4 linked regions of the Diceros bicornis minor genome follow. The protein of the gene in region 3 purifies or fractionates together with the protein of the main gene of each other region. This does not show direct contact. Links are inferred from orthologs where the notes say so. Each region holds a gene or a part of one and is shown on either strand. Other genes may lie near its edges.

Region 1 (6,949 bases), on a different chromosome or scaffold from region 3:
GAAAAAGTCTCTGAACAAATTTATAAGCTCATCTTTTTTTTTTTTTTTTAATAAAATTCTCCCAGAAACCTAAATTGATTTAGATTTAGGTTACCTGCATATTTATCTCAGGGAAGGAAAATTAAGATTGCCATCTCAAATCCAAAGAAAAATATATGACCTAACATTATGGGAGAAGCTATAGCCACGATAAAGCCACGCCTGTGCACGGATCATAATCAGTATCAAGGAACACAAACACATTAAGTAAAAAGGGTAACTTGCAGCCTCTGATCAGGTTTAGACTTAAGTTACTGAAATGCCATAAACTTTAAAAACATTTTTATCCAGTTATCAAAAATCCTGGGATTAAAAAAATTCCTGGTGTTCAAAAAAAATTCATGTAAAACAAGTGACAATTCATTATACTAACAGTAAAGGAATGAATGGCTTCACATATTTTCAATTCACAGAGCCAGAACAATCTTGACATTTATTTACCCAGTCATTCTTACTATTTTTGCTTACATTTACAAAATTGTTTTGAAAAATAACTTCAACAATTTAACTTAAATTTTAGCTAACAAAACAGACACAGCTAACAAAAACTTATGCTTCCAATACCTGATAAAAGCCTGAACAGTCAAAAAATTTAAAAATTCAGTATTCAACTAAATGTTATTAAGGAACAGTTGGTTTTCTAATATAATGAATCATATAATAACAATGAACATTTATGGACCATTAATTAGTGTCACCCAATTCTACATTTTAATAACTCATTTAATCCTAACAAAACTCTAAGATCATCATTATTACTCTCATTTTATAAACGAGGAAAACGAGGCAGAGACAACAAACCTAGCTGAAGGTCACATCTATTAAGAGGTGAAACTGGTATTCAAAACCAGAGCTCATATTCCTAACCCCCATCTATATATGATAACTATCTAAATGGAAGTCTCCTTACCCAAACTGATACATATAAAAACAGGTGGGAAAAAATGCAAATATAGCTCACTGAAATGGCAAATAATCAAAAATTTGTTTTCAGACTGGTAACATATTACCTATTATTTAAGAAGCTGAGCATTCCTCTAGTAATAAATTGCTTTAATATCCTTTTTAGATTTTCTTTCCAGAACTCTTCATTTTACACTTTTCTTAAGCACTTACACATACATAATTACCTCACTAAAAAGGCCAGTCTATGAGAAAGTTATCCTCTTAAAGCTATCAGAATGTTTACCTCAATTGCTGAAAAGGGATGAAAATTTCAAACCATCTAACTATCCATCAATACGTTCCTACAATAGAAGTCTAAAGAGCCATGAAAAAGTCCCAAAAGACTACTAAGACTGTAATAGAACACAAACTTGTTCACCATATGTATATTACGTGAAAAAAAACAACACAAAACACGATCACATTTCTCAAAACATGTATATGCAACTGTACGCAAAGGAAAAAAACGAAAGGACATAAAGAGCATCAATATAATTAATTGGTGGATTTTTATTTTCTTTCTCCTCTTTTTTCTAAATTTTCTACAATGAAACTCATTTTCTATTACAAAAACTGATTCTTAAAAGGAATAAAAACAAGGCATTACAATAAAAAAACACAACTACTTATTGCACGCAACTATTAAAAAGTTTTCAGGAAAATTATATTCCCTTAGCTCAGGTCTTTTCTCATCAACCTAAAATCACTAGCACAAAAAAATTTTTAAAGCAGTGAAATGAGTGAAGAGATACACCTTCCAGTTAAAAAACAATATATCCTGCAAGAATAATAATTCCAGCAATACTACATCATTGCCCCCAATAACTCTATGTTAATTTGAGTGCTTAATTTACAATTGCGTTTTCGGCTGATTTTCAAATTCACGTATTGCTCTTGCTCTCAACTTTTAAAAGACAACTAGCAAAAACATTTGAACTCGGAACAAACAGTTACGTTATTATACAAAGCAAAAATACTAAAAGACAACCACTGAACGACAACATGATCCACGCTATTCTCCCTACTGAGGAAACAACTATTTCTTCGGAAATCTCTTCCCATTCAAATTTGGGGAATCGAGGATAAACTACGTAAATTCTAACAGCAAAGGCAAAAGAAACGTGTTGCTCAAATATGTCACTTGGGGCAGGGGTAGCAAAAAAAAAAAACTGAGACCTACACACAAACCCCGCTTTCCACTTGGTAAATTCAGAAATCACTAGTAATTCCAAGTCCCCTTCCATCCCCGCCTGGAATATTTCGCCAAAGTAGCTAACGTGAATCTGAGCCGTTTTAAATTGCTAAGCTATTAGAACGCGGCCTGGTGGAAGCCACTGGACACTAGGGCCCAAATAATCTAATTAAAGGATCCCGATCCCCAAATGATCTGCAGCTTGCAATAATAAAGCGGATTTAAGATTACCCAAGAAACAGCCGTTAGAGACCCTTTCCGGTCAGAGGCACCGGCCGGCGAGAGCCGCGGAGGCGGGGAGGGGGAGGGGGACGCGGCGGCGGCGGAGGAGGAGCCGAGGCAGGAACTAGGCCCGTCCCCGGCGGACACCCAGGCCGCCGAGGAGCCAAAGGGTAGGGGATGACCAAACCGGAGAGGAGGGCGAGCATCGTAACTCGGTTCTAGAAGAGGGAGTCTGGGGTTCCCTGGGAAAGGGCGAAGTTCCTGGCTGGGAAGGGAGCGAACGGATGGGGGGGGAGGGCCCGGAAAATGGATCCCAGGCCCAGGCGGGGCTGTAGCGGGGCCTGAGGCGAGGAACGACGGCGCCTCAAAAGAGAGGTGCCATGGAAGGCTACACGGCGCCCTATCGGTCCCTTGGGAGCAGAAGAGTCTGGGAAACGTTTACCTGGAAAGTTCCTGTTGAATTTCCCGGAATTTACTGACCACGAAAGACCTAAATATCTGCTCGATGTTGGTCGCCATGGCGTCCGCTCCGTTCTCTCAACTCCTCCTCGCTAGTCCTCCAGGCTCCCAGCATGCCTCGGGAGGAGGCGCAGAGGCCAATTCCGTCTCTCGCCGTCCTGATTGGCTCCTGGGAGAGCGCCCAGACCGGCACGTTCCACCGCTGAACCAATCAGTGAAGACGGCTCCGCTCTCCTCCGCTGTTTCTGAGCGTCTGGGGTAGAGCTGCTGACGTTTGCGCCGCGCACGACTGTGTCCGCCATGTTAGTGACTGACGCAGGCGCCATTACAGGAGAAGTCTCTGTTGAGGGAAGTCTGCGAGCTTAATGTGTCAGTCCCCAACGGTGTTTGGGGGACTTAAGAGGCTTATTTTAGCCACCGAACGCCCGAGATTAAATGTCAACAGGAAAGGGAGCAAGAAGGGCAACATGGTGTTTGATACGGGCCCCCCAACATTCCCGGGTGGCGCCAAGTTGAGTTTCAGCAGGGAGATGCGTCCGGAAAAGCATTAATCAGCGCCCGCCCCCACTGTGGTGCAAATACGAAGAACACGCTTTCACCCCATCTCTCTCGCAGGGGATCCTATAATCGGCTTCATTTCCTTTTTTTCTTTTTTAAGCAATAGGCGGGAGGTCCTGAGCCATCTGCATTCAGAGGCTGGTGCATTCTAGTCCCGTCAGGCGCCAGGCGTGTCACGAGACTTGTACGCGCTGCCTGGTCAGTTCTGCCTCGTTAGCAACACAAGCAGCTAAGCGTGGAGTTAGCATTTTGGCGCTGCCCCTCCTCTGAGCTTGGGAGGCTCCCGAGAAGGAACAGACACGCTACGTGGGCCTGATCCTCTAGTGTTACAAGAGAAACGCGCCAGGGTCTGATAGCCTTGCTCTGGAGTAGGCTCAGGGCGCGCCCGGCGCGGGAGGGAGTCCCACTTAACCCCGTCTTAGCGGGAACCAGGGGCCGCGCCGACCAATGGGGAGGAGAAGCCCCGCGGGGCGGGCGGGGAGGCGCGGGCCCGCATCCGCTCGGCCGACATCCGGCGCGGGCAGGCGAGGCGGGTGAGTGCAACCTGGAGACGGCCTTGTGTCGGTGCGTAACCCCCTCCGCTTTTAAGTCCATTTATGCTTTGGTTGGGGGCTTTAATACCAGGCATCGAATGAAACTGTAGGAACTGTTCGGCTGTGGGGATTGTCTTATTTTTAAACGCCGTGGGTGGTGGGGGGTGACCATGTGCTTTTCACTTCTTTGGACTGAGGTTTCCATTGGCTCTGTCACTTTCCCTGCTTTCTAAGATGTCGGGACCTTTTTGTGTCTTTAGGCTTTTTTTAGGTCGTAAACCTCAATTGCGTATTTTCTCGTTATGCACCCACTGCCTCCAGCAGATTATTTCGTCGACTTTTGGAATTGGTTTCTGCTTTATATCATTCACCAAATCTTTTGAAATGGCTTTGCCTGGATCTCTCATTCTCGTTATGTTACCCATTTAGGTGACAGAGGCCTAAGAAGGTTAATTAAGTCCCTCAAAGTATCCTAGCTTAAGGGGCAGAGTCTTGGCCCAAAACAAGGCCTGCTCCCCGCTCCTGAGGTAGATTCCTTCCAGCTGAGTCCTAATGCTATTTCAGTGATCCACTTTACTAACCAGGACAGTTTCCCTTCCCTGCCCCTCGTATTCCAACTGAACGTAATATTTTCTCCAGGTTCAAAGGTATGTTTATTTCAGATATTTTAATACACGTGTCAAGTCTGTGCTTTCCATTAAACTAAAATAGCTTGTCCCCCTCTGAGAGGGTAATTTAGCAGGGTTTTTTTCTCTCCTCAAATTTTCAGTGATCACCGTCTCAATCGTTAGGGTATCTGAAGCAAAACTGCATCCGTTGGAATCCAGGCTCCACCCCTTACTGGCTCTAGTGACCTCTAGCAATTTTACTGGACCTCGCTTTATCTGTAAAGTGGAGATGGTAATAGTATCTACCTCATAGGATTCTTACAAAGATTAAGTGACGTAATTCATGAAAACAGTTTAGAATAGCATCTGGCACAAAGTAAGTGCTCAAAAAGTGTTTTTTATATTATCAGGTTAGATTTTTCTTTAAATGGGTAATCCTATCGTCTCATAAGTTACTGATTTCAGTCTTCTTTTTCCTGTTATCAGTTTGCCTTCTACATAAATGTCTTCTGAAAATTAGTAAATTAATGTGACAAATTATTCATTACTTTGGCTTTTTTTTTTTCCTGTTAGAACTTCTTTCTATCCGTAGAGTACTATCAATTTAGGTAAAAGTAATAAATAAAATATAGCAAGTTAGCGTTTACTGCTGCTGAGTGTCAGAAATTGCACTAATTGTTTATAAATGTCATTTCAGTTAATCTTAAGTAGCCTCATAAGGCAAGTTCTCTTACTTCCATCTTTTAAGATGTGAAGAAATTGAATTACAGATAGTAAAAGCTTACTCAATGTCACACTGCTCACTTGAGTTGAAAGAGAGTGCTATTGCACCCATCCTGCTCAGAATCATATGCCAGAACTAAAGTGAGATGTGTTCAGATTTGATTTTTGACTTTTCTACCAATTTTCTAACTTATTGCACTAATTTCTTAAATCAGGGGTCAGCAAACTACGGCCCTAGTGCCACATCCTTCCTGCCGCCTGTTTTGGTACAGCCCACCAAATAATGATAATTTTTATATCATTAAATGATTGGAAAAAAAATAAAAGGAAGAATGATGTTTTTGACACATGAAAATTATACAAAATTCAAATTGCGGTATCCATAAATAAAGTTTTTTTGAAACACAGCCATGCTTATTCTTTACAAACCTCTGGTAGCTTCCTATTGCTTAGTGCAGACTGTGACCTACAGGCCACTGCCTATGTATACTGGACATAGCATCCATTTATGTATTGGCTGTGGCTGCTTTTGTGCTACAGTGACAGAGTTCAGTAGTAGTTACAGAGATTATGGCCCTCAAAGGTGAAAATATTTACTATCTGACTTTGTAGCCCCCAGTCTTAATATTGCCTCCAATTTATGATAACTTTAACGTCTATTATCTATACGATCTCAAGGTTTAAAAACAGTTATTTCGGGGCCAGCCCGGTGGCATAGTGGTTAAGTTTGCGCGTTCAGCTTCGGTGGCCCAGGGTTCGCTGGTTTGGATCCCAGGCGCGGAGCTACACACTGCTCATCAAGCCATGGTGTGGCAGTATCCCACATGCAAAAGAGAGGAAGATTGGCACAGATGTTAGCTCAGGGACAATCCTCCTCAAGCAAAAAGAGGAAGATTGACAATGGATGTTAGCGCAGGGCCAATGTTCCTCACACACACGAAAAAAGTTATTTCAAGTTTTGGGTCTAAATTTAAAACATCAAGATTCATTTTTAACTGAGGCTTGATGATTACTAAATCTTCTAAAGGAGAAGCCCAAGGAAGGGTGATTATTCATAGATTTTTTTTTTTAACAGGTAAAGAGCTAAGTCGCTGTTGCATTCCTTAACCTAGCTGTCTAGGCCCATCTGCCTCATTTTTAAAATACCTCCCTAATCATTATGAGTACAGTCATATTTCTTAAATTATGAATCCTAATTTTTCACAAATAAATTGTTGGAATAAAATGTCATTGTATGAATACAAATGACTACGTAAATCATGTTTAGAAATCGTGACTTCTGAAGTATGTGCATTCTGAAATACCAACTGTGCTTTTCTTTCTGCAGCTTTCATTTTCCTTTTGAATTCCTGCTTTGCAGACAGCAATGGCAGCTCGAGTACTTGTAATTGGCAATGGAGGAAGGGAACATACGCTGGCCTGGAAACTTGCTCAGTCTAATCATGTCAAACAAGTATTGGTTGCTCCAGGAAATGCAGGCACTGCCTCCTCCGAAAAGATGTCAAATACTGGTAATTATGTTTTAAAGTGGGGAGTAATAGTTAATAATTGTAAATGATAAATTGTCACCTACATCTGTTCTTTATAAGGTCACTTGCTATTCTGATTTGAATACTTTTCCTAACCTTAAAATTTGTGTGGTAATTTGAATACTTGGCATATGTTGTAAA
Region 2 (7,848 bases), on a different chromosome or scaffold from region 3:
TGTATTCCCTAATACTTTAATGCAGGCATTAGCAAACTATGGCCTGTAGCCAAATCTGGCCTGCCACCTGTTTCCTACAGCCCCCAAGGTAAGAATGCCTTTTACATTTTTAAATAGCGGAAAGGGGCCGGCCCGGTTGGCGCAGGCGGTTAAGTGCGCGCGCTCCGCTGTGGCGGCCCGGGGTTCACTGGTTCAGATCTCAGGTGCGCACCGATGCACCACTTGTCAAGCCATGCTGTGGCGGCGTCCCATATACAGTGGAGGAAGATGGGCACGGATGTTAGCTCAGGGCCAGTCTTCCCCAGCAAAAAGAGGAGGATTGGCAGATGTTAGCTCAGGGCTGATCTTCCTCGCCAAAAAAAAAAAAAAAAAAAAAAAAGTTGAAAAAAAATCAAAAGAATAATATTTCATGATACATGAAAATTAATTATATGTAATTCAAATTTCAGTGTCTATAAAAACAGCTTTATCGGAACCCAGCCATGCTCATCCACTTATATTGTCTGGCTGCTTTCACACTGTCACAGCAGAAATGAGTAGTTGCAACTGAGCCCATATGGCCCACAAAGCCTATAATATTTACTATATTTTAGTAAATATATAGGCCCTTAATAGAAAAAGTTTGCCAACTGCTGCTTTAGTGCGTGTGACTCCTACAAACAAGGACATTCTCCTACAGAACCACAATACAACCATCAAAATCAGAAAATTAGTATTGACACATTACTACCACCTAATCCACAGACTCCCAGTGAACTTTCACGAACTGTTCCAATAATGTCCTGCACAGTAAAGGACCCAATCTAGAATCACATATTTGCATTTAGTTGTCATGTCTTGAGTCTCTTTCAAACTGGAACAGTTCCTCAAGTCTTCCCTTGACTTTTATGACTTGACACTTTTGAAGATTACAGGCTACTGAGCTTGTAGAATGTCCCTTAATTTGAGTTTGTCTGATGTTGCCTCATGACGAGATTCAGGTTATGCATTTTTGGCAGGAATATCCCAGAAGTGATGCTGTGTTCTTTCCAGTGCATCTCCCATCAGGTGGTACACGATTTTAATTTGTCCTATTAGTGGTAACGCTAACTTAATCACCTGATTATGGTGGTGTCTACCAGGCTTTTCCATTATAGTTACTTGTTTTCTCTTTGTAATTAATAAGTATTTCATGGGTTTTCTCCACTTCAATTATTGACATTCTATTCAAAGTAAGAGTTCAAATGACACTTCCTTCAAGCTTTCCTAGATCTGCAATTTCTCACTCTCCTATGCCACTATAACCTTTTGCACCTTTATCAGCATTTAATTCTGTCTTGAATGTCAGTTAACTGTACTAAATACCCTCACCAACAACTCTAGAGCTTACAAGAAATAAACAGCAGACCACAGCATGAGTTAAGGGTTAAGGCTCTGAACCTGGAAGATCTAGATTTGAATCCTAACTTTGTCACTTAATAACTATGTAACTTCAGGTAAGTTATGTACCTAATAACTATGTAACTTCATCTCTCCAAACCTGTTTCCTCAACTGGAAAATGGAGTGAATAGTCCCCATTGCATAAAAGGTTATGAGAATTAAACAAAATAGTCTGTGTAAAGAATTTATACAATCTCAGGCTCAGTAAACATTAGTTAGCATTATTTTTTGGCCATTCTTGAATTCACGAACGCTGAGTTCCTTGTGCCCACCTGCCAATGCCCCAGACAGCACCATGCATAAGAAGGAACTAGATAAATGTTAACCGAATGGACTGTTTAATTTTGAGATACTGATATTCCTTGTACTAGGCTAATCCCTCCATTTCCCTCAATGCCACCTGTTGAGTGCTGGTTGTAGATAAAATAGAGAATTAAGAGCTCCAAGGACAAGTAATTAAATGTAAATTATAATGGAAACTTTCATACACATCGAGATTCTTTTTACTTCCAAAGAGCTATCACATCTATGCTCATTTCATTCTCCCAAGACTCCCACGTAGTGATTGCAGAAATTTTTATAGAAGGCTCTTCATGGAACAAGCCAAGCTCATTTCTGCTGCTGGGCCATTGCACTTGCTATTCTCTTTGGAAATGATCTTCTCTTGGATATTTATACCTTGTTCCCTCATTTCACTCAGGTCTCTACTAAAATGTCACCTGCTCTGAGAAACCTCCTTTGTCACTCTAAAAAGTCCCCTATACACACACTCTCCAATCCCCACTTTCACTGTTTTATTATTCTTCATAACATTTATCCGTAGCTGACATATTCATGTGTTTACTGTCATCCCCCCAACTACAATTTAAGGAAGGACTTTGTTTTGTTCACTTGGAACAGTGCCTAGCACAAAACAGGACCTCAATTAGTATGTGTTAAACGCATGAATGACTCCAACAAGGCACAGAGAAGACAGCTGATTTGTCCACAGTTGCATAAAACTAACGACTTGCGGTACCAAACCTCACTGCTGCTTCCCGCTATAACGCAGGCTCTCAACGGAATACAGAATAAGGACAGAGGGAGCTTGGTAGAGAAAGGGTGAAGGCGGAACAGATGGAAAAGGGAGTGAGAGGGGACTGGACAGTGAGAGCACGACCCCTGCCCAGGAAAGGGGTTTTACGAATGAATGATATCGAGGGAACCGCGGAATTGGGGTGCGTGTGTGTGTGGGGGGGGGTCCTTTCTTTCCCTTTCCCGCAGAACGCCTCCATTTACCCATCTGTAAATTGAAAGAATCAGATAGCATATAACGTCTCTTTCAGATCGGACATTATTTAATTTCCCATCCCACTTCCCATGCGGTTGACCCGCGCCAGCTCACCTCCCGACCGCTTAGCCAAAAGCTCCAAGTCTGCCACCGGAGACCGCGCTTCCGCCCCACGCCGCGGCAATGTGTGCGCCCGCCGTCCAGAAGGACCCCGCAGAGGCCGCCGTCGCGTTTCTGCCTCGGAGGACAGCCCTCTGCCTGAGGACCAGCTCGGAAGAATGCCGGCCGCGGACACAGGAACAGGCGAGGTGGAGTTGTGGGCCCCCAAACCAAGGAGTGGGCTGCTCCCAAGAGAGTGAGGGCTGAGCAGGCCTGAATCTGATCAGGCGCCTTGGGACCACACTGAAGGGGGCCTTCGGGTCGATCACGTGAGCAGGCTGTTGGAGCAGTTGCTGGGCAACCACAGCTGCTGGGCGTGGTCTACACTGAGCTGTCCTGTTCTCGCGTATCTGGGGATCTTCAAAGAAAGCAAGGGAATCAAGGCCAGGGCTGGTGGAGTGAAGGTCAGAGGGTCGGAAGAGTTAGTTCTATTTATTCAATGACTGGGGAGGGCTCAGAACTGGACAGGAGCCAGGACACTTGAGTTCAGTTCCTGGCCAGCCCAGCGCCCTTCTTGGTGTTCAGCTTACCCACTTTGGGGTGGAGGGAAAGGGCTATGGGGTTGCTTGCAGACCTCCTGCCTCCCTGCCCTAGGGCCGTTGATGATGACTCCGCCACGAAATCTAGCTCAAAGCACCGTGAATCTGAGGTTCAAAGAGGTCTCACAGCAAGTAAATGCCAGAGCCAAGACTAGAACACATATACAGGATCTCCCTGTAGAAAGGATCAGTCAGCCTCAGATACGTGCAGGCTGCAGAAGTACAGGGGCAGAACTAAAGAGGTTGCTCAAGTACCTAGGGACTTGTGCTGGAACCCTGGGCTGGACAGAGGGATGTGGGGACAGGGATCATTAAGCCCCTTCCTCTGCCTAACTTCTACTTGATTTCCTGCTTAGTCATTGCATCTGGTTTGGTTGCAATGTATCTTTCCCAGATAAAGACGGTTGAAATTTTATCCCAGGGCTCAAGAGCGGCTAGCAATAGTTCTGCTTTTGTGTGAGGTTCTCTATCACAACAACTTGCTATAGAATGAACCCATGTGGAAGAGTTAGTGGACTGAATTCTGAGATCCAAATACCTCCTCAGCCAAGCATCAAAATTAAAGTATTTTTAGAGGCAGAGATGAAAATTAAAGCAAGGCTCCAATCTGAAAGTCAGGACTCTCTATTTTCAGTGACAGCAAGTCTTAAGCAAGTCCTCACTGTGCAACTCAGCTCCCCTCTGTAGAGAACTAGATATTTGTAACACTCCCCAAGATAAGTGACAAGATATCCAGAGTGGTTTTGGATCATTTTGTGGGCTGGCAAAGACTTCATATGTACCCTCTTCCCCCTGATATTGACCCTTCTCTGATGTCCCTTTGCACAGGCCATGGAAAGAAATGACATCATCAACTTCAAGGCGTTAGAAAAAGAGCTGCAGGCTGCACTCACTGCTGATGAGAAGTACAAACGGGAGAATGCTGCCAAGTTACGGGCAGTGGAACAGAGGGTGGCTTCCTATGAGGAGTTCAGGTTGGCCTAATGCTGTTTTTCTCAGGCCCTCCTGTTATGGTGAACAGTAGTGGATAAGAGCATGTGATTTGGTGTCAGACAATTCTGGGCTCAGTCCTGGCCCTGCCTTCTGCTACCTGTGTGATCTTATGCAAGTTATTTAACCTCTCTGAGCCTCTATTTCCTCATCTGTAAAAGAGAGTAATCATTTTTATGATTAAATAAGTTATTACATGTAAGATTGTGAGCACAATGTCTGGCACATGGGAAGTGCTCAAAAGCTGTCAACTATTGTTGCTGGTGTTATTACAGTCATTCTTTGCTGAACAATGGAGATATGTTTTGAGAAATGCGTCATTAGGCTATTTCATCATTGTGCGAGCATTACAGAATGTACTTACACAAACCTAGGTGGTATAGCCTACTACACATCTAGGCTATATGGTATTAATCTTATGGGATCACCATTGTGTACGTGGTCCGTCGTTGAATGAAACGTCATTATGCGGCACATTATGATTGTATTGTTATTATTGTTGTCATATTGGTGTGCCAACAGGTTCAGCCTATATCACGCAAAGTCCAGCCACCTCCCATACACAGACAGCATTAGGTCCATCCTCTGATCTGTGTCTTTTGCTCATAGGGGTATTGTCCTTGCATCACATCTGAAGCCACTAGAGCAGAAGGACAAGATAGGAGGAAAGAGGACTGTGCCCTGGAACTGTCACACTACTCAGGGAAGGACTTCCCAGGACGAGACCACTGAAATCTCCCAGGTAGGTGAGGCCCAGCCTTTCAGCCCAGCTGGATTCTCTGCCCTAAACCTCCAATCCTGTCTTCTTACAACACATACTTTTTCCTTATTTCTCATGTTAAGCCAACAGAGGCAGGTTTCTGCCTCCAATCCCAGAAAGAAAAGCAACTAGTGGATGGTGAGGCTGAGTTAGACTGGGCAGAACAAGTCAGAAAGGTGGGCGAGGCAGCTCCCTTCCATCAGTCCTTTGACTTGCATTCCCAGATCAGATTTGGGTTGCTCTGCCTCTGGGTTATATGGTGTATAGTATAAAGATTCTGTGGCAGTGTTGGGAAGGAGACCCAGCCTGTCAGATTCTTAACACTCACCTTGAGTTCCTTTCTCTCTTCCTGAGGTTTCTGATCATCCCCTACGCCCTGTTCCAAGTAAACCCTCACTTACTCTCCTAGAGCAGGGCTATGTCTGCATTCATCAGTAGGAAAATCCTGGTACAACTGAGAATCTCAAATCATGGCCTGGGTTCCTTGGGACCCTCCTGCCCTGTCCCCTTCCCCGTTCCTTCCTCTGAAAATGAGGGACCACCTCTGAAAAACAGGGACCACAGCCTTCCCAGTGCTCAGGGAGCAGTACCAGAGCTAAGATGGAAACCTAGAGGCTCCCCTCACTCTCACTGTTGCGGAACAGCTGGAAGAGCTCAGGACTCCTTTTCCTTCCTTTGTGATCCAGAACATACTCCTCCAGCCTGAGACCTCGGCAGACTTCTACCGTGATTGGCGGCGATACTTGCGGAGTGGGCCAGAGCGCTACCAGGCCCTGCTGCAGCTCGGGGGTCCAAAGCTGGCCCGCCTCTTCCAGACGGATGTGGGGTTTGGACTTCTAGGGGAGCTGCTGGTGGCACTGGCCGATCACGTGAGGCCGGCAGACCGGTCAGTGGTGCTGGGGATCCTGCGCAGCCTGGCCAGCACCGGGCGCTTCACCCTGAACCTGAGCCTGCTGAGCCACGTGCAAAGAGAGAGCTGCAGAGGCTTGTTTCAGAAGCTGCAGGCCATGGGCGCCCCCAGACCCATGAAGGAAGGGCTCAGCCAGAGGGAGTGGAGTGTGGAGGAGCTGCCTGCTGGGCTCCAGGAGGAGGAGAGGCTCCTCCAAGAGCTGCTAGGGCTGTACCAGATGGATTAATAGGACCAGTTACCTTCAGAGGCCCCCAGTGCTCATTGGAGGACTTTTTTGGTTGTTGTCTTGGGAGCTCTGCAGGACTGTAATGAGAAACCCACACCTAATTCCCTTCTCAACTTGGAATTTTCAGTGCAAAAGCAGGAATCGAATCTTCCCTTCTTCTCCAGCCCTGCGGTGGCTCAATATTCTGAAGTGTGTAGATCCACAGGATGGTCAAGGGCCCAAGAAGTTGAAAGTGTTTTGCTTCTCACCCTTACTGTCTGCCAAGCCTCTAGCCCTCAGCCCTGAGAGATGGGTGTGTGCCCAACCAAATGCTGGCTACACCCGTTACAGCCTCCACTCAAAAAAACGGGAAAAAGGAAAATCATTAATCTTCCATGGTAAACAAATACTGATCTCCATAGCTCTTAACAAGAATCTTTATAACTTAAAACCAATGAATGGACATTTAATCCACAAATGATCAAAGGGTACCCCATTTGAGGTGCAGTATTTTTTCCCCAGGGGCTGAGTTCCTTTGCAGGCTGGGCCTGGGAAAGCCCCAAGCCATTAGCTCAGGTCTGGCCAGCTTCCCAGGCTTCTTCAGGTGGCCAGATGTGCAGGCCGGCGGGTTTCCTTCAACTCCCAGATTAACCAAAGGGAAGACCTTCCCACTAGGTAGGCAGGGCAGGGCCTGGAGCAGAGAGGCCGAGATTTCCTGTCCTAGCACCTGGGCCCTTGCTTCTCATTCCGGTTTCCCCTGACCCATTCTTGGGTGAGTGCCAGTGTTCTAGAAAGGGGAGAGAGGGCCAGGTTCTAGAATGGCTTTCCCTCCAGATCATGCCTGGAACATCAGAAGGGTGTCTTGTATATCAGCTGGGAATAAATTGCCTTGCTTTTGGCTGCTTGCTTTACAGATTGTTACTTCTTTTCCTGGCTATTTAACTCTTTCCTCATATAGATGCCTCCTCCCAGCAGTGATTTCTAGAAGCCCCAAAGACCTTTAGTGCCTGGTTTTGCCTGCCCTCTCTGACCCTTCCCTCCTGCAGGCATGAACCTGGCCCACACCACTGTGCTCCTGTGGACGTGGGGGAGTCTCCAGGCCTTTGAAATTGTGGAGAAGGAGAACATTTTTCAGAGGACCTCTTGCCCGGCTTTCCTGATGTTTGACAATGCAGCCTACCTGGCCGACATGAGCTTCGAGCTTCCCTGCCACTGCAAGCCAGAGGAGGTGTCTGCTGTCGTCTGGTACTACCAAAAGCACCTAGGTAGCGGCCACACCAAAGTGCTGACAGACTTCGATGGGCGGGTGCTGACAGAGGAAGCCCAGGTGCGTGTGGGCAGTGACATGCTGGTCCGCTTCAGCATCCGCATGTTCAGCCTGTTGGTTTTCCGGGCCCAGCCTGAGGACTCTGGCTTGTATTTCTGTGGCACCCGCAAGGGGGACTACTTTTACGCTTACGATGTGGACATCCAGAGCAGTGAGGGAATGGTGGCCACTTTCAAGGACCAGGGCCAGGAGCCCTTTGAAGACGAGTACCATGGGAGCCTCCATGTCTTCACCACCTTCTGGGAGTGGACCCCCTGTGACCGGTGCG
Region 3 (7,871 bases):
GCTCTCTCCATGCAAGCAGAGAGAAAAGGCCATGTGAGGAAAGAGCAAGGCGGCAACCATCTGCAAGCCAGAAAGAGGGCTCTCACCAGACACCAACTGGCATCTTGATCTTGGACTTCAAGCCTCCAGAACCATGAGAAAATAAATGTTTGTTTAAGCTGCCCAGTTTGTGCTATCTTGTATGCCAACAAGAGCTGATGAATACATTTCATGAGATAAAAACATTAAAAATAGTAGTAACAAAAATTAAGAAATTACCTCTGCTTGATCCCAACTTGATAGCTTTTTAGGAGTGGCACCAGGAGTCTGATCAGCTGTTTGATCCCAACGTCGTTTTCGTTTTGAGGGAGGCTGGGACGCTGCTGCTCCATTGACGACTTTTAGTTCCCCAGCTTTAGCTTTTTCTGCTAGCTGTTGCCTAATTTCTCTCTGAAAAATATTTGAATAAGCAGTGAATATCTTTAAAACATTTTCAATTATCTTTTTATATCATTAGGACAGTCATTTCTATTTCATGATTTCACGTCATTTTATTCTTCACTCATTCTCCTTCCTTATTTTCCCTCTCTATCGCCAGTTTTATACAATGTCCTTCTGCACAACAGATGAGCAAGTACTGAATTTATAACATAAAGCACTCTACTTTATATACAGTTAGTGAAGTAAAATCTTCAGTCAACGGTAAAGATGATTCCATTCAAAAATAAAGTTTTATTTAAAACTCATATAAATAGCAATTAAGACAATGTAGCAAGATATAAGCGATAAAAGTGACTATAACTATGCAAATAACATAGTCATAACAAATGCATATTTAATTTACCCCATGATTTTAAAATGGAGTTCCACTATCCCACTTAATCCATAAAACAAACAAATCTATTATATATTCATATTAAGTTTGGAGGCTAACTATTAAAACAAGATGGAGCAATCTCTGTAGGCCAACAGGAATTCTTCAGGAATTCTCCACCCATATCCAAACTGAATCTTATGAGAGAATTAGAGGTTTTTCAAAGAATGATTTAACTATTTCACTTTTCCCTTACACACTGGCTTCAGACACACACTATCAATCCTTCCCGGATACATCCACCATAAGATACATACGTATATAGATATATAGCCAATGGACCAGGGACTAGAAAAGGATATAGAAACATGAAAAGTGTAATTTGGGAGGTGACAGAATTTTGGGTAAGGTTCTTTCTCAACTTAATTTTTATTAAGCTGTTAAAATATTACTTGTACAGCAAATAAAAAGAAAATACAAAAGTCACTCAATCTCTACTTTCTTCACTTTCTTTCACAACCATTAAAATAAAAAGCAGGTTAACATACCTCTTCTTTAGTCAAATGCTGTTCTCGCATTACATCCATGTAAGTCCTAGCGTTCATTTTAGGATCAGGGGTCTTCCCTCCTGCAGAAAAGAACAGCAACAGGACAAGAGTACAATAAATAAAAGATAATTAGGTTCAACTGATTTATCTGCCCTGCTCTAATATTATGTTATTCCATAATCATTTAATTTATTTTTTGATGGAAAACTTTAATAATTATACATCTTACTTTTTATTGAGTTTGCTGATCAATTTAACCTGTTTGAACACAAACATATCTACAGCAGTTTAAAACAAATATTTTAATGCATATGAAAACAAAATGACAGCACAGTTTAGAGTCTTCAGAAGTGATGGGTTCCTGGGTTGCTAATCCGGAATACGTACACTTTCGTGCCTTTGTCTCCATCAGCAGTTCTGACTTCAAGCAGCAGAATAGAAGCCTAGAAAATTATCTCTTTACCATTAGTAACACTTTGGAAAGATATTTATATTCAAAACATTACCTGTTGCAAGCTGTTAAAATCCTGACTACAAATAACTATGACTAGATAAGTTCCTCATATAATGTTCTAAAACAGTTATAGTTCAGAAAATCTGATTTTTAAAAATATACCTATAATCTTATTCTGATGTCATGTTACTAAAAAGGGCTTCATGCTTTTAGAGTTTTGTTGACCCAGAAACATATTTTTATTTTCTTAGAAAGTATAAATTACAACTGGAAATATATTACTTGAAATATATTACCTCTACCAGTTATTATGATGCACACAGAAGAAAAGTGGTGTACAAAGAGATGTGTTAGTCTCTTGGTTAAAGTTTCAGTATTTGTTTTTCAAACTTCAAAATATCTTAAAGAAGCCCAAACAGTATACAACAAGATTCACAGAGGCACACTAGTTTTAGAAATGTGATAATTAGCTATACAAAGTAGTATAGCATCATAATTTAGGAAAAAATAATAAAATTCTAAGACATTTCCTATGCTGAAGATCATGCCTAATTGATAGTGTCATTCTTTCTGACACTAGCTCTGATAAGACTTCCTTTGGAATACTTTTTCACCATAATCTAGAGAGGATGTGTTGAACTGCACCCTTAAGAATGCAGACAGGACTGGCATATAGCAGTACTGCTGTAGGAAAGAAATTAAGGACAGTTAGTATGGGCCTGTGAATTCTGACATACATGTTTAAATCAATTACAATTATGCAAGTAAAAAAAAGAATATCCCTACTAATTCATGCAGGCTGAAAGTCTAATTTGTAAACCTGCAGCAGAATCTAATTTTAAGAAACAGGCACCTAATTTTGATTTTGAAACTCACTCACCTGAGGAAAGCTTCCATCAGGCTCACTATGCCCCTAAAATTAGCAAAACAGACTCCAACTATTAAAAATATCAAAGTCTTTGTACACATATTTTTGTTTTAACTTTATGCTTAAAGCAAAGTAGGTGCGTTTACTAAACTATATTTAGAGCAACATGGATGGAGCTCTAATGTGAGAAACAGTTTCTCAAAAGTAACAATCCTAAAAATCTAGGATTTGGAATGAAAACTTTCAATAATTTGAAAGTATTTTGAGCAGAAAAACACATTTGTTCAAAGTATAGAAAGCGTACCCAAAACAAAAGTAAAAGAAAAACCTTTAACCCTTTGCGTTTCTATGGCATTGGCTCATTATTTTCTTGTCCTTCTACCTGGAAAGAAAACTTGCATTATAAAGAGGAAGAATATGGCATCTGTGACTTCAACCAAATCTATACAAATCTATAAGGGGGATTTTAAAAAAGAAAAGCAAATTCATAGGCATGCCAAAAAAAATCAAAGGGCTAAAGACAACTTAATACAAATAAATTTCCGAATACTTATAGAAAAGTGGGAAAGAATTACCATCTGCAAAAGGATCAAGACGCTCTGGGGAAATTATCATGGTCCGCCTGTGCTTTTTGTATTCATCTTCACGATCTGCAATCTTCGGAGGTCGGTGCTCGGCAAATGGATCATACTGAAAAGAGTTATATCTCACTTAATACCCACTTTACTAAATAACCAAACAGAGTACCACAAACAAAAATCAGAACATTATAAAACACGTAAAAATGTTTAATAAATGCCTACCTACTAAAAAAAAAATATTCTGTATCATTTTATGGATAAACGTTAATATGAGAAAATAAGGGATACGTAAATGAGACAATACACATGTCCACATTTCCATAGTTTCTTTATGAAATGATTACCTTTATAAAATAAACTATTATTTCTAATTCTCCCAAATTAACTCTCATCAAAACATTCTAACAACTTGATTCCTAAAATATGTGAGCTTCCATGAGAATTGAGACATTGTTTTCTTTAGCTGAATAAACTCTGAATTTAATAATAATTTTTAAAAAAGAGTCACCTGTTCTGTTGACTGTGGGATATCATTAAGCAATGCCACAGGGGCATGATACCCTGGCTTCTTCTGACCAAGCAAACTTGTAGATGAAGAGTAGTCATCGTCATCCTGCAATGAAATGCCCCCAAAAGCCACAAACAAAATGTCAGAACTTAAAAATGATAAAGAATACATAAAGATTCAACATGAAATCAAAAGACTTACTGACAGTGTGATTGATGTCTAAACCCTTCTTCCTAAAACTTATAAATACTTTGGTTTTCTTTTCAACTCAAAAGGCTATTAAAGAAATGAAATTCAGTTCTCTTCACTCTTTTAAAAATATTAAACAAGGCATGCTTTCTGTGGAAGTCAGTTAAAGTCGGTATGGACTAGAAAAATCTGAGCATTTTGTTTTCTCACAGAAGGCATGATGAAATTTGTTTTCCAAATTTGTAAACTACAAATAGACTATTTAGAGCTCTCTAGTTTCCTTGTTTTTTTAACATGATTTAACCACAGAAACAAGTAAAATATAATTAATTTTAAATATATTTGTTTCCCTAGTAGTATGTTCAAACACAACAATGTTAGTGTTACTTTACTACTATAAGAAGTTCAACAGTGGGTAACTCTCAAGAAGATCTTAACACCTCATTTATTTTATTTAAAAACGAAATAATTTTCCCCTCAGTTTCTGGAACATATAGCCATCACTGTCTCATACGAATAAGGTATGATAATGCAAATAGAAGCCTGATTGGCTTCTAGAAATTCTACCTTTGGGACTTAATTTTGCTTTAAAAAAAAAAAATGCCAACTATAAAATAAAATGTGGCTTGAATTTCATAAAAATAACATGTTTGATAATCTATATACATAAAATGTTTGTTACTGAACCACACAAAAATGGATAGCTATTTCACCAAATTTGTATGTTTGGGATGGTCTGACAAAATATAAGCTATGTGGAACACATAAAAAACACTTTGAGGGGTGTGTTTCAAAACGAGAGGTGATCATCCTCCAGAGTAACTAAAACAGGCACAAAAAGCCATTCATGTCGGTAACAAGAAACATTCCATTCACACAAGATGCCAAGGGGAAAAAAAAAACAGCATCAAGCACAAGTCAGAAATCAAAAGTCCTAAGGACAGATGACTTACAATGAAGTCACTTCTCACATGGGCAACTCTAGATAGAGCTCAGTAGGTGACAACAGGGATTTACTTTACAATAGTTAATGATTTGCAGGTGCTTTACTAGATAAACTAGCTTTAACATAAAGATTCAGAACTGAGCACTTCCACAAGTTTCTGAACTTTAGAGAGGAAGGACACCTTCAACAGCTTTATCCTTCAAAAGAAAGATCTCCCAATCTCCAAAATGTCTCCCCAGATTAAACCAGATGACTCAAACAGAAAATTCCTTTATATTTCTTGCTCTCCATCAAAAAAAACGCTTGACTCTTGGATACTTTGTAACTTACATCTTCAAGTTCAGTTGCAGCAATTGATGTCACATATCCAGCAAATCTGCTGTCACTTCCACCATAAATTTCCTGGTCATAATAACCTGTAGAATCAAGGCCCACTCCCTGAGCTTCATCAAGAGCTGCCTTCTTGCCTTGAATTTCTCGAATCTGTGCTTCAATATCTGTAAGAAAGTTAATATAGACCTTCTGAACTTCATTTTCCAAAGAGCACTCAACACAATGCATTTCTCTCCCAGGTATTATCAAAATACTCTTCTAAATACAGCAATTTCAAAATAATTATACCATACAACAGATTAGTAGAACTATACCAAGTACTGATTTTTAATAACATCTCCACCTCAACAGACAATACTCATGTACCGAAAAGACACTTACTATTTCATCAACTGCAAATTACTCTTACTTTAAGAATGGGTTACCAAAGTTTATTAAATTATTGTTGAATTCTAAACTTTTCCTCAACTGAAACAATAATACTGTCAATGTTGATTAGGGACCAACAACAACACTCAAGATTATTTTAACTCAACACTACTAGAAATGTGAAAACAACAGTACTATGGAGAGTGGTTATCAAACTTGAATGTGCAACAAATCGTCTACGGATTTTGTTAAAATGCAGTAAGCCTGTGCCTACTGTCACCACTCTTATTCAACATAGTACTGGAGGTTTTGGCCAGAGCAATTAGGCAAGAAAAAGGAATAAAAGGAATCCAAATAGGCAACGAAGAAGTGAAACTCTCACTATTTGCAGACGACATGATTTTATATATAGAAAACCCTAAAGAATCCATTGTAAAACTATTAGAAATAACCGAAAACTAGAACAAAGTCGCAGGGTACAAAATCAATCTACAAAAATCAGTTGCATTTCTGTATGCTAATAACGAACTAACAGAAAGAGAGCTCAAAAAGATAATACCATTTACAATTGCATCAAAAAGAATAAAATATCTAGGAATAAATCTTACCAAGGAGGTGAAAGACCTATACAATGAAAACTACAAGACATTATTGAAAGAAATCAACGATGACATAAAGAAATGGAAAGACATCCCATGCACATGGATTGGAAGAATAAACATAGTTAAAATGTCTATATTACCTAAAGCAATCTATAGATTCAATACAATCCCAATCAGAATCCCAATGACATTCTTAAGGGAAATAGAAAAATGAATACTAAAATTCATATAGGGCAACAAAAGACCCCGAATAGCTAAAGCAATCCTAAGAAAAAAGAACAAAACTGGAGGGATCACAATCTCTGACTTCAAAACATACTACAAAGAAATAGTAACCAAAACAGCATGGTACTGGTACAAAAACAGACACACAGATCAATGGAACAGAAATGAAAGCCCAGAAATAAAACCACACATATACGGACAACTAATTTTCGACAAAGAAGCTAAGAACATACAATGGAGAAAGGAAAGTCTCCTCAATAAATGGTGTTGGGAAAAGTGAACAGCCACATGCACAAGAATGAAAGTGGACCATCTGCTATCGCCATTCACAAAAATTAACTCAAAATTGATCAAAGACCTGAAGGTGAGACCTGAAACTATAAAACTCATAGACGAAAATATAGGCAACACACTATATGACACTGGTCATAAAGGAATCTTTTCAGATGCCATGCCTACTCAGACTAGGGAAACTAAAGAAAATGCAGTAAGCCTGGATCAAACCCAAGTTCCTGCATTCCTAACAAGCTCCCAGGTAATGTCCTAAACACCTAGGACTACACTCTGAATAGTAAAACAATAAAGTATAAAGTCTAAATTCTTAAGCGTGGAATTCAGAGTCCTACACAATTTGGCTGCAACCACCATCACATTAGTTTTATGATTAAGAGTCTAAGCTCTGGAATCAGAATGTCTGCCTTCAAATAAAGGCCCTTTCTCTACTAATTAATGTTTTTAAACCCATGTGTCTCAGTTTCCTACATCATAAAGTTTTTTTAAGGATTAAATGAGACAATGAACATGAAACACTTCAGCACTCGATGAATGAATGAACTGCCATCTCTCACTCCCCAAAGCACTATGTTCTACTAACATTCTGGAGATGCAGATTTGGTGAATGACATATGAACTCCTCTCAACTGCTTCCCAAACTTCCCTCCAATTTTTAACTTTGAATTTTTTCAAGATTAAAAAAAAGTAAAATATTACAATGAACACCCACATACTCTTCACCTATATTCATCAACTGTTTATGTACATAATAGATAAAGCAAATGTGTATACATATCAGTTTTCTAAATCATTTAAAATCCCTAATATCTCAGCATGTTATTTCCAGATCTAGGGCATTCTGCTATATAACCACAGGAATACTAACACGCTCAGAAATTAAACCTTAATACAATAGCATCTAATATATTATCCAGCTTCAAATCTCCCCAATTGTCCTAGTAACATCCTGTATAGGTGTTCCCTTCTTTGATCTGTGATCCAATCAAGAACCAGGCATTGCATTTAGTTGTCACGTCTCTTTAGTCTCCTTCAAATACAGACTAGTCTTCCAACTTTCTTTTAGTGTTTCTTAACACCAGGTAACTTCAAATTACAACCTAATGTTTCATTTTAATAATCTGAATAATACATAGGTAAAGTATTATTAAAGTGTAAAGAAAC
Region 4 (7,432 bases), on a different chromosome or scaffold from region 3:
AAGGGGGAGGATGGTTGCAACTTGAAACAGGGCTGTCATGGTTGGCTGACCTCATCTGAACAGAGATTTGAATAAGACTGGCCAAAAATATTGGCCGAGGAAACAGGAAGTGCAAGGGCCCTAAGGCAGGAGCTCTGCTCAGACAACACCATGAAGGCATGTAGCCTAGAGAGGCAGGAGCAAGAGAAGAGATCAATTAGGTAAAGGACAGCCTTGAGGGACATTGTGAGAACCTCTGACTTTTACTGTGAGGGAAACAGGAGCCACTGTCTCCCCACTGACTGGATCCCCTTATCACCCCATCTCATCCAATTGTATTATTAATTTTTAAAAATTCCTGCCAATCTGATGCTGTAACATGATAATTCATTGTTTGCTTTCATTTTCCTAATAGGAAGGTTGAGTGTCTTCCATGTTTATTGTCTGTTTGGAATTGCTTTTTTGAATGGCCTGTTTATATTCTTAGCTCATTTTTTACTGAGTTGTTTGTATTTTTTATATTATGTATATTATTAGTAGTCCTAGTAGTAGTACCCTTTCACATGTTATAGGCATTATAGAATTTACCTGCTAATCTAGCATTTATCTTTGACTTTGTTTTGGGCATCTTTTGCCATAAAATTAAATTTTTATATAGATGAATTTTTAAAGTTATTTCTTTTACAGTTCTTAGGTATTCTGCCTTGATCAAAAGGTCTTTACAAACCCTAGGTTGTACAAACAGTCTTTTAAATTTTCTTTTTAGATTTTTATGTTTCTTTTTTTCCTTTTGGGTGTTTAATTCAACTTGCTGTAGTGTTTGTGCAAGTTTTGAAACTGGAATTCCTACATTCAACCTGCCATAAGAATAGCTAGTTTTGTAATCACAGTTATTACATAAAACATCCTTTTCACATTCACATACCTTTGTCATATTAAAATGAAGGAGCTTTTTTTTTTTTTTTGCTGAGGAGGATTCCCCCTCAGCTAACATCCGTTGCCAATCTTCCCCTTTTTTCTGTTTTATGTGGGCCATTGCCATAGCATGGCAGCTAACAGACAAATGGTGTAGGTCTGCACCCGGGATTCAAACCCCGGCCTCTGAGGCAGAGCATGCCAAACTTAACCACTAGGCCACCGGGGCTGGCCCAAGGAGCATTTTTTAAGGTTAGGATATACTACACCATATCCAAGAGCTGATAAGAATGATCCGAGAGGGCCAGCCACAGTGGCCTAATGGTTAAGTTCAGTGCACTCTGCTTCGGCGGCCCAGGTTTGGTTCCTGGGGGTGGACCTACACTGCTCTATTAGAGGCCACGCACGCAGTGCTGGCGGATGGGTTGATAGATTACGAGAGACGTGAAATACAGTAGGATGCCAGCCACTAAGAAGGCTGGAGGAATAGGGACCCAGAGCACAAGGAGAGGGCTTGGGTCACCTCGTCTCTACTAATACGTGGAAAGCTGGGGGTATGAGTACAGTCAAAGGCAGCTTGTTAGATCTGCCAGTGGGGCAGATGAGGAGTCCTTGTTGAAGAGCTTCTGTCTTCCCAGAGAAGTCAGGAAATCATCCATTCCTGGGAAAGAGGATGAGGAGGGAAAAGAGGGTGGAAGAGGTGTGTAGATTTGAGGAAACGGCAATGTGGGAAAACATATTATTGCAGAATGGGAAAATAAACAGGAGAGTATAAGAGGATTAGCAGGCAGAATTAAGGGCCCAACTAGATTTTTGTAGTAATGGGTTTAAAATGAGAACTTTGGGGAGGTTATGTATGATTTTTTGCCAGCAAAGGTAGCTGATGGTGAATTTTAAGTTTTTAGTAAGCTTATTTTCAGTTTCTTTTTCTAATACTTGCAAACTATGTCAATACCTTTACAGTTTCCTTTTCTTATTAGTACTTTAAAATCACTTAAGTAAAAACTTTTTAGGTTCTTTTTCTTATCAATACTTTCAGACCATTTAAGTCAAAGCTTTTGATATTGTGGACTGATTATATCATATGTTGGTGTTAATGAAACTACAGGGGTGGTTATTTAATCATGGTTGGTGATCAAAAAATTAGGTGGTGGGCTAGGAGTTCAATGAATTGGGGTAATTGACTCAGGGCTGATAAGGGCAGTTGAAACATAAAACCAGGGGTATTTTCTATAATTGTGTCACCACCTTGCCATTGTTACTTCATCCCTCCACTTCATAGTGCATCATTCATTCATTCATTCAACAAATACTTACTCAGCACCTATTATGTGCCAGGTACTGTTCTATATGCAGAGGATACACCAGTGAACAAGAGAGACAAGGTTCCTGTTTTCCTGGAACTTATGTTCTAATATAGGAAGATAGACAATAATAATAAAAATAATATTAATAATAATAACAACTAACATTTATTTAGCAAGTACTGTTTGCTGAGACAGTTCTAAGCACTTTACAAGTATTAATTCACTTAATCCTTAAAATAACATGAGGGACCAGAATTATCCCCATTGTATGCACGAGGAAACTGAGGGCACAGACAGGGAAAATAACTTGCCTAAGTTTACACAGCTGGGAAAGGCAGAACTGGAATTTAGAACCAAGACCATCAGGCAGTAGATCCCTTTTTCTCAAGGACTTTGCTATGCGGCCTCTCAGACAAGAAACAAGGCAATAACCAAATAATGAACAGAATAAATTCAGGGAGTGTTTAGTACTATAAAAAAATAAATCAAGGTGACGTGATGTATTTATGTGTTGGACGGGTGGGGGTGCAAATGCAGATGTCAGGGAAACCTCACTGAAGAGGTGACATTTGAGCTGAGACTTGAAGGATGGTAACAGTTATCTTGGGGCACAGGCAGCAGTGAAAAAGCTAGAGCAAAGGAATCTTTCCTTGTTTGTGAAACAGAAATGCTCAGTTGGCTGGGGCTAGAGCTTAGTGTGCAAGAGAGTGACTGATTAGAAGTGAAGTCAGGGAGGCAGACAGAAGCCAGACTCCATGGGGCCTCAGGTCACATAAAGAAATTTGATTTTTATTGTACGCGCAGTGGATTTTTATGCAGGAAAGTAACACTACTTGCTTCTTAATTTTGAAAGATCACTCTCACTGCTATATGTAAAATTGACTGTAAGACAAAAGTAGAGGCAGGAAGATCTATTAGGAGGCAATTACAATCCAGGTGGAAAATGATGGCGGCTTGGACTAGAGTAGCAGCAGTAGAATGAAATTTAGGGTGTATCTTGAAAGTACAATTAGCAAGACTTTCAAAAGAACTGGATGTGAAGAGTGAAGGAAAAGGAATTTGAGTAGGAGCCTTGGGATTTTCGCTTTGAGTAACTAGTATGATAGTAGCGTCCTTTACTGAGATGTGTAAGACTAGGGGAGGAATACCTTTGGTAAGAAAAATCAAGAAAGATTTTCATCTTGAACTTTACGGGGGGGGGGGGGGGGGGGGCTTTTTCTACCTTTTTTTTTTTTTAATGTAAAAGTTTCAAAGAAAGAGTTCTGGAAAAAAAGCTTTTAATGTTCAATTTCATGAGCTCTTTACATTTGAAACTAAGTTGAGGGAGTTGAATTTTTGTTTAACAAATATTCACTGAGCATCTACTGTGGCCAAGGACTACGTGACGAGATACTAAGACGAACTAAGCAAACAAGATCCCTGCCCCAAGAGTACTTTTTCGGAGAAGAAAAAAATGAGGATTGGTGGCTTTTTTTTCCTTTTCGTTGTCTTATTAAAACTTCACCTAACGCATGAGTAGCCATCTTATAATAACTGATTCTTGTGCTCCTGGTAGTTGGGCCCACCGTTCTAAACGCTCGATGTCGGGTGAATAAATAAACGAATCTCTAAGAGTGACATCTCCCCCTCCCACTAGAACTTAGGCTTTTTAAAAAATAAAAATTTTAACGAACAATACGAATACAACCTTTGTTTTGAAGGCTAATATTTTTGCAGGAATGGTACCTTTATAAAGATCGTGGTTGCCCCCGTACATATTTGTTCTTTCTTCATATCCAATTAAATGAAAACACTAGTTTTTCCGTAGCCCAACTCTCTAGGCTTGCTGGGTCTAGCTCAGGAGAGAGGAAGCAGAAGCCGACGGATTTAAACGGTTGGGTGGAATCTTTCTCTACGCTCTCTCTCGCTAGCCGGGGACGTGGTGTCGGTTACCCGGGGCTTTCCGTCCCAGCAGTACGGGAATGAAGGAGTCTGGGAGGGGGTCGGGGAAGGAAAAGGCGGAAGAGACATTAAGTAATTGGTTCTTCAGGGTATAAAATTATGTTTAAGGTCTACTCTAAAGGACCGATTTCAAACGCCCGCCCCCTGGGCCGTTTCGGCCCCGCCCCCTGTTGTCGTCACGCCGACTTCCACCTTGACCTCCGCGGATTGGTCGCTGCCTCCGCCTCTGAAGTGCGATTAAAGAGCTTGGAGTTTGTTTCCGGGTCATGGGCCTTGACCCTGGGCGCAGAGGTTTCTGGGAGCTCAGAGTCGTAATGGTGTCTGTATGATCTCCGGAGGTTGCTGCATCGGAGTTTGGCTGACGTGAGCGCCGGGAGGACCGCGGATTGTCTTCCTTATTCGAGTGGGGCGGGAAAGGACGATTGGGGTTGGAGTCGGCGGCGGAGAGGCCCCGGAGCGGCGGGCAGGTGGCGGAGCCCGGGTCCTGTCGGGCGCTTCCAGCGTCCTGGGCCGGCCGCGGAGAGCGCAGCGTGAAGGCCGCTCTGCAGACGGCGTTAAGCAGGGTCGGGGCCCCGCCACCCCCGCGGAGTCGGGCGTGGGGAAGAGTCCGCGAGTTCCCGGTGACAGCCCGCGGCGAGCTCCCGGGAGGCAGGAGTATTATCTGGGGGTGTGTGAGAGGCGGCGGCAAACCCTGTTTCTCCGTCTCTCCATTACATCCCTTTTGCTTTTTTGAAAATGTAGAGTATACCAGTTCTCTCGTTTCCCCACGCACTTGCTTTTCCGACGCTAACGAGGTTTTGGTAGACGAAGCTGCTAGGCAGCACTCTCTTGGCTGCCCGAACCAAAAGTAACAATAAGGAATAGGTCCCTGACTCTCCTTTTATCAGAATCCTTTGCGGATGAGATTCCTGTCTTTTGAGCATTCCTTAAATTATAACCTACAAAAGATCTAATGTATATGATGATGGCCGCTGTAGGAGAAAATTGGATCAACAAGAAGGTTGTTGGAGAATTTAACTTATGTAACTGGCATTGAAGTTTAGCACAGTTTCAGTAACTTTGTCAGTGATTTTTTAAATATCTTTTTTGTTTTTGTAGTTACTAGCCTATTTTCTGTTGTATGAGGTTTAGATAAAATGCAGACCTTAGGGAGTCTGATAGAGTAAGGTTGAGCTGAGAATTTTTCAAACTTAGTCATGACAGGACTGTATTTTTCGAGGCTTTGACACATTAAGTCTCATAATTCTCATAGTAATCCTGTGAGGAATATCCCATTCCACAGCAGATTCAGCTAGGTGACTTGCCCAAGGCCACAGAGCCAGAAGAACAGGAACCCAAATCCAGATCTTCATGATGGAATTTTTTGCACTAAATAAGAGCTGCCTAAGAAGCCATATTCTGAGCCTCATTATTTGTTTTCTTGAGAACTTTTGCTTGAGATTGTTTAAATTTTGGAGAATGAGTTTTGGAAAATGTTTCACAAGGATGGATATTGATTAATACTTTATGAAATGAGAGCTTGTCATATTGGAAATAACTTGATGCTATTTTTCTTCAAAGCATAAAAGATGACCACAGCAGCTAGGCCAACCTTTGAACCGGCAAGAGGTGGGAGAGGAAAAGGAGAAGGTGATTTGAGCCAACTCTCAAAGCAGTATTCAAGCCGAGACCTACCTTCTCATACAAAGATAAAATATAGGTAATGAAGGCTTTCATTTTTTTTGTTTGTTTGTTTACAAAGCAAGACCAAATCTGTTAAATGGCATGGTCATGAGATAGTAGCATGTTTGGGTTATATTACTGAAGTTTTCTGTTTCCATAGGAGTAGAATACAATAGAATGTTTAACACTAAAATTACTGTCTGTGATTGTAAAATGCTACCAGATATTCCTTATGTAGAAATTCCTATTAACTGGGAATTTCCATATGTAGATGAAACAATAGCTAATACATTACCTCAGAAGGACCAAGCACTATCAGCATTAATCAATATGAGATTAAAAGTGTTACAGTAACAGGCCCTGAGTTGACGTGACACTAACAAAAAGTGAAGACGTTTTAATCAATCTGCAGGCTTATTATGGGAAAATATGTGATGGAGTTTGGGCTTCTTGAAATATTGGAAACATCGCAAGGATGCCTGTTAGTAACCTTCAGATTAGGGTAATGAACTTGTCTAGTTCCCTCTTTTTTATGCTTGAAAGACTCAAGGAGACAGTTACTTTTTGTGAATTGTCTTCCATTGCTACAGCCATGTCTCTCTTAGTAACATTTTTGCTGTGATTTGTTTCTACTTTAGACAGACCACTCAGGATGCCCCTGAAGAGGTTAGGAACCGTGACTTCAGGAGAGAGTTGGAGGAGAGAGAGAGAGCTGCTGCAAGGGAAAAAAATAGAGATCGTCCAACCCGAGGTATCAACACTACCCCAGACATTTGTCTCATAAAATTATGTCAACAATTGTTTTTCTTTCATTTGCTAATTAGAACAGATTAGTATTTTTGCTTGTTTGCTTTAAAATATTGATGTGAGCTGTAACACTTTCTTAAATGTTAGAGATGAAAATGAGGTTGATTCCAGTTTCATCTTTTTATGTTTCTGTGTTAGAAAGAACAGGGTGATCTGGGGATATTTAGCAGCCATTGTTTCAGTTCAGATCAAGTTTTTGACTGTTTACAGCAGCCAAACTTTTTGAGGCCCCGTGGTTTCTATGAGGGTTTCCTATTTTTGTTACTGACTATTGGAAAGCATCTAGGGGCATCGGTTATAATATCTTTTTTATGTTTTCAGCATATGTAAACTATTCCCTAAATTTCCTGAGAGAGGCAGCAGTTTCCATATTAAAATCAGAACTTTGATTAATTCATTCAACAAATATTTACCAAGGGCTTATTTGCCAGGGACTGTGGTTCTGATCCCTGCTGTCATGATGCTTATAATCTAAGCCCTTTGTGCCCACAGGTCCCTAAAATGTCATTGGAAATGCAGTATTTGTTTTAGTAAGCTAAATGATGTTTGTTTTTCCCCAGAACATACAACCTCCTCTTCAGTATCAAAGAAGCCTCGGTTAGACCAGATTCCCGCGGCCAACCTCGATGCAGATGATCCTCTAACAGATGTATGATTTGTTTTCTCCTTTCATCTCCGTATAGTAATTTATTTATCGTGTTTCCTGAATTACCTTTTTTATTTTTTTGGCTTTAAGAAGTGACCTGTATTTATTTTTACTTACTGTTAGTCAAATGTAGCCCTGACTTCAATGCTAAACTTTATAGTTGATTTTAAAACAA

Evidence for each region.
Region 1: the proteins of SF3B1 (region 3) and SON purify together in Homo sapiens (co-immunoprecipitation; 3 studies listed by BioGRID and IntAct, with this or other methods). This does not show direct contact. The link is inferred for Diceros bicornis minor from reciprocal best matches to the Homo sapiens genes SF3B1 and SON.
Region 2: the proteins of SF3B1 (region 3) and EFTUD2 purify together in Homo sapiens (affinity purification with mass spectrometry; 4 studies listed by BioGRID and IntAct, with this or other methods). This does not show direct contact. The link is inferred for Diceros bicornis minor from reciprocal best matches to the Homo sapiens genes SF3B1 and EFTUD2.
Region 4: the proteins of SF3B1 (region 3) and CWC15 purify together in Homo sapiens (co-immunoprecipitation; 3 studies listed by BioGRID and IntAct, with this or other methods). This does not show direct contact. The link is inferred for Diceros bicornis minor from reciprocal best matches to the Homo sapiens genes SF3B1 and CWC15.

The regions. Positions count from the first base shown.
Region 1 is NC_080766.1:34,057,113-34,064,061, reverse strand, and holds the start of SON (protein SON), read right to left. Parts: upstream 3,003-6,949; 5' UTR 2,918-3,002; coding exon 2,841-2,917; intron 1-2,840. Other genes in the region: GART (trifunctional purine biosynthetic protein adenosine-3), read left to right, coding at 6,646-6,790. UniProt on the Homo sapiens protein: RNA-binding protein that acts as a mRNA splicing cofactor by promoting efficient splicing of transcripts that possess weak splice sites.
Region 2 is NC_080757.1:43,343,853-43,351,700, forward strand, and holds the start of EFTUD2 (116 kDa U5 small nuclear ribonucleoprotein component), read right to left. Parts: upstream 3,005-7,848; 5' UTR 2,805-3,004; intron 1-2,804. Other genes in the region: CCDC103 (coiled-coil domain-containing protein 103), read left to right, coding at 4,220-4,362, 4,988-5,120, 5,825-6,274; Ig-like V-type domain-containing protein FAM187A, read left to right, coding at 7,302-7,848. UniProt on the Homo sapiens protein: Required for pre-mRNA splicing as component of the spliceosome, including pre-catalytic, catalytic and post-catalytic spliceosomal complexes. Component of the U5 snRNP and the U4/U6-U5 tri-snRNP complex, a building block of the spliceosome.
Region 3 is NC_080749.1:75,268,754-75,276,624, forward strand, and holds the start of SF3B1 (splicing factor 3B subunit 1), read right to left. Parts: upstream 3,013-7,871; 5' UTR 1,729-3,012; intron 1,422-1,728; coding exon of another isoform or gene 1,399-1,421; coding exon 1,342-1,398; intron 430-1,341; coding exon 259-429; intron 1-258. UniProt on the Homo sapiens protein: Component of the 17S U2 SnRNP complex of the spliceosome, a large ribonucleoprotein complex that removes introns from transcribed pre-mRNAs.
Region 4 is NC_080746.1:38,948,203-38,955,634, forward strand, and holds the start of CWC15 (spliceosome-associated protein CWC15 homolog), read left to right. Parts: upstream 1-4,429; 5' UTR 4,430-4,505; intron 4,506-4,604; exon of another isoform or gene 4,605-4,809; intron 4,810-5,702; 5' UTR 5,703-5,710; coding exon 5,711-5,841; intron 5,842-6,442; coding exon 6,443-6,555; intron 6,556-7,171; coding exon 7,172-7,260; intron 7,261-7,432. UniProt on the Homo sapiens protein: Involved in pre-mRNA splicing as component of the spliceosome. Component of the PRP19-CDC5L complex that forms an integral part of the spliceosome and is required for activating pre-mRNA splicing.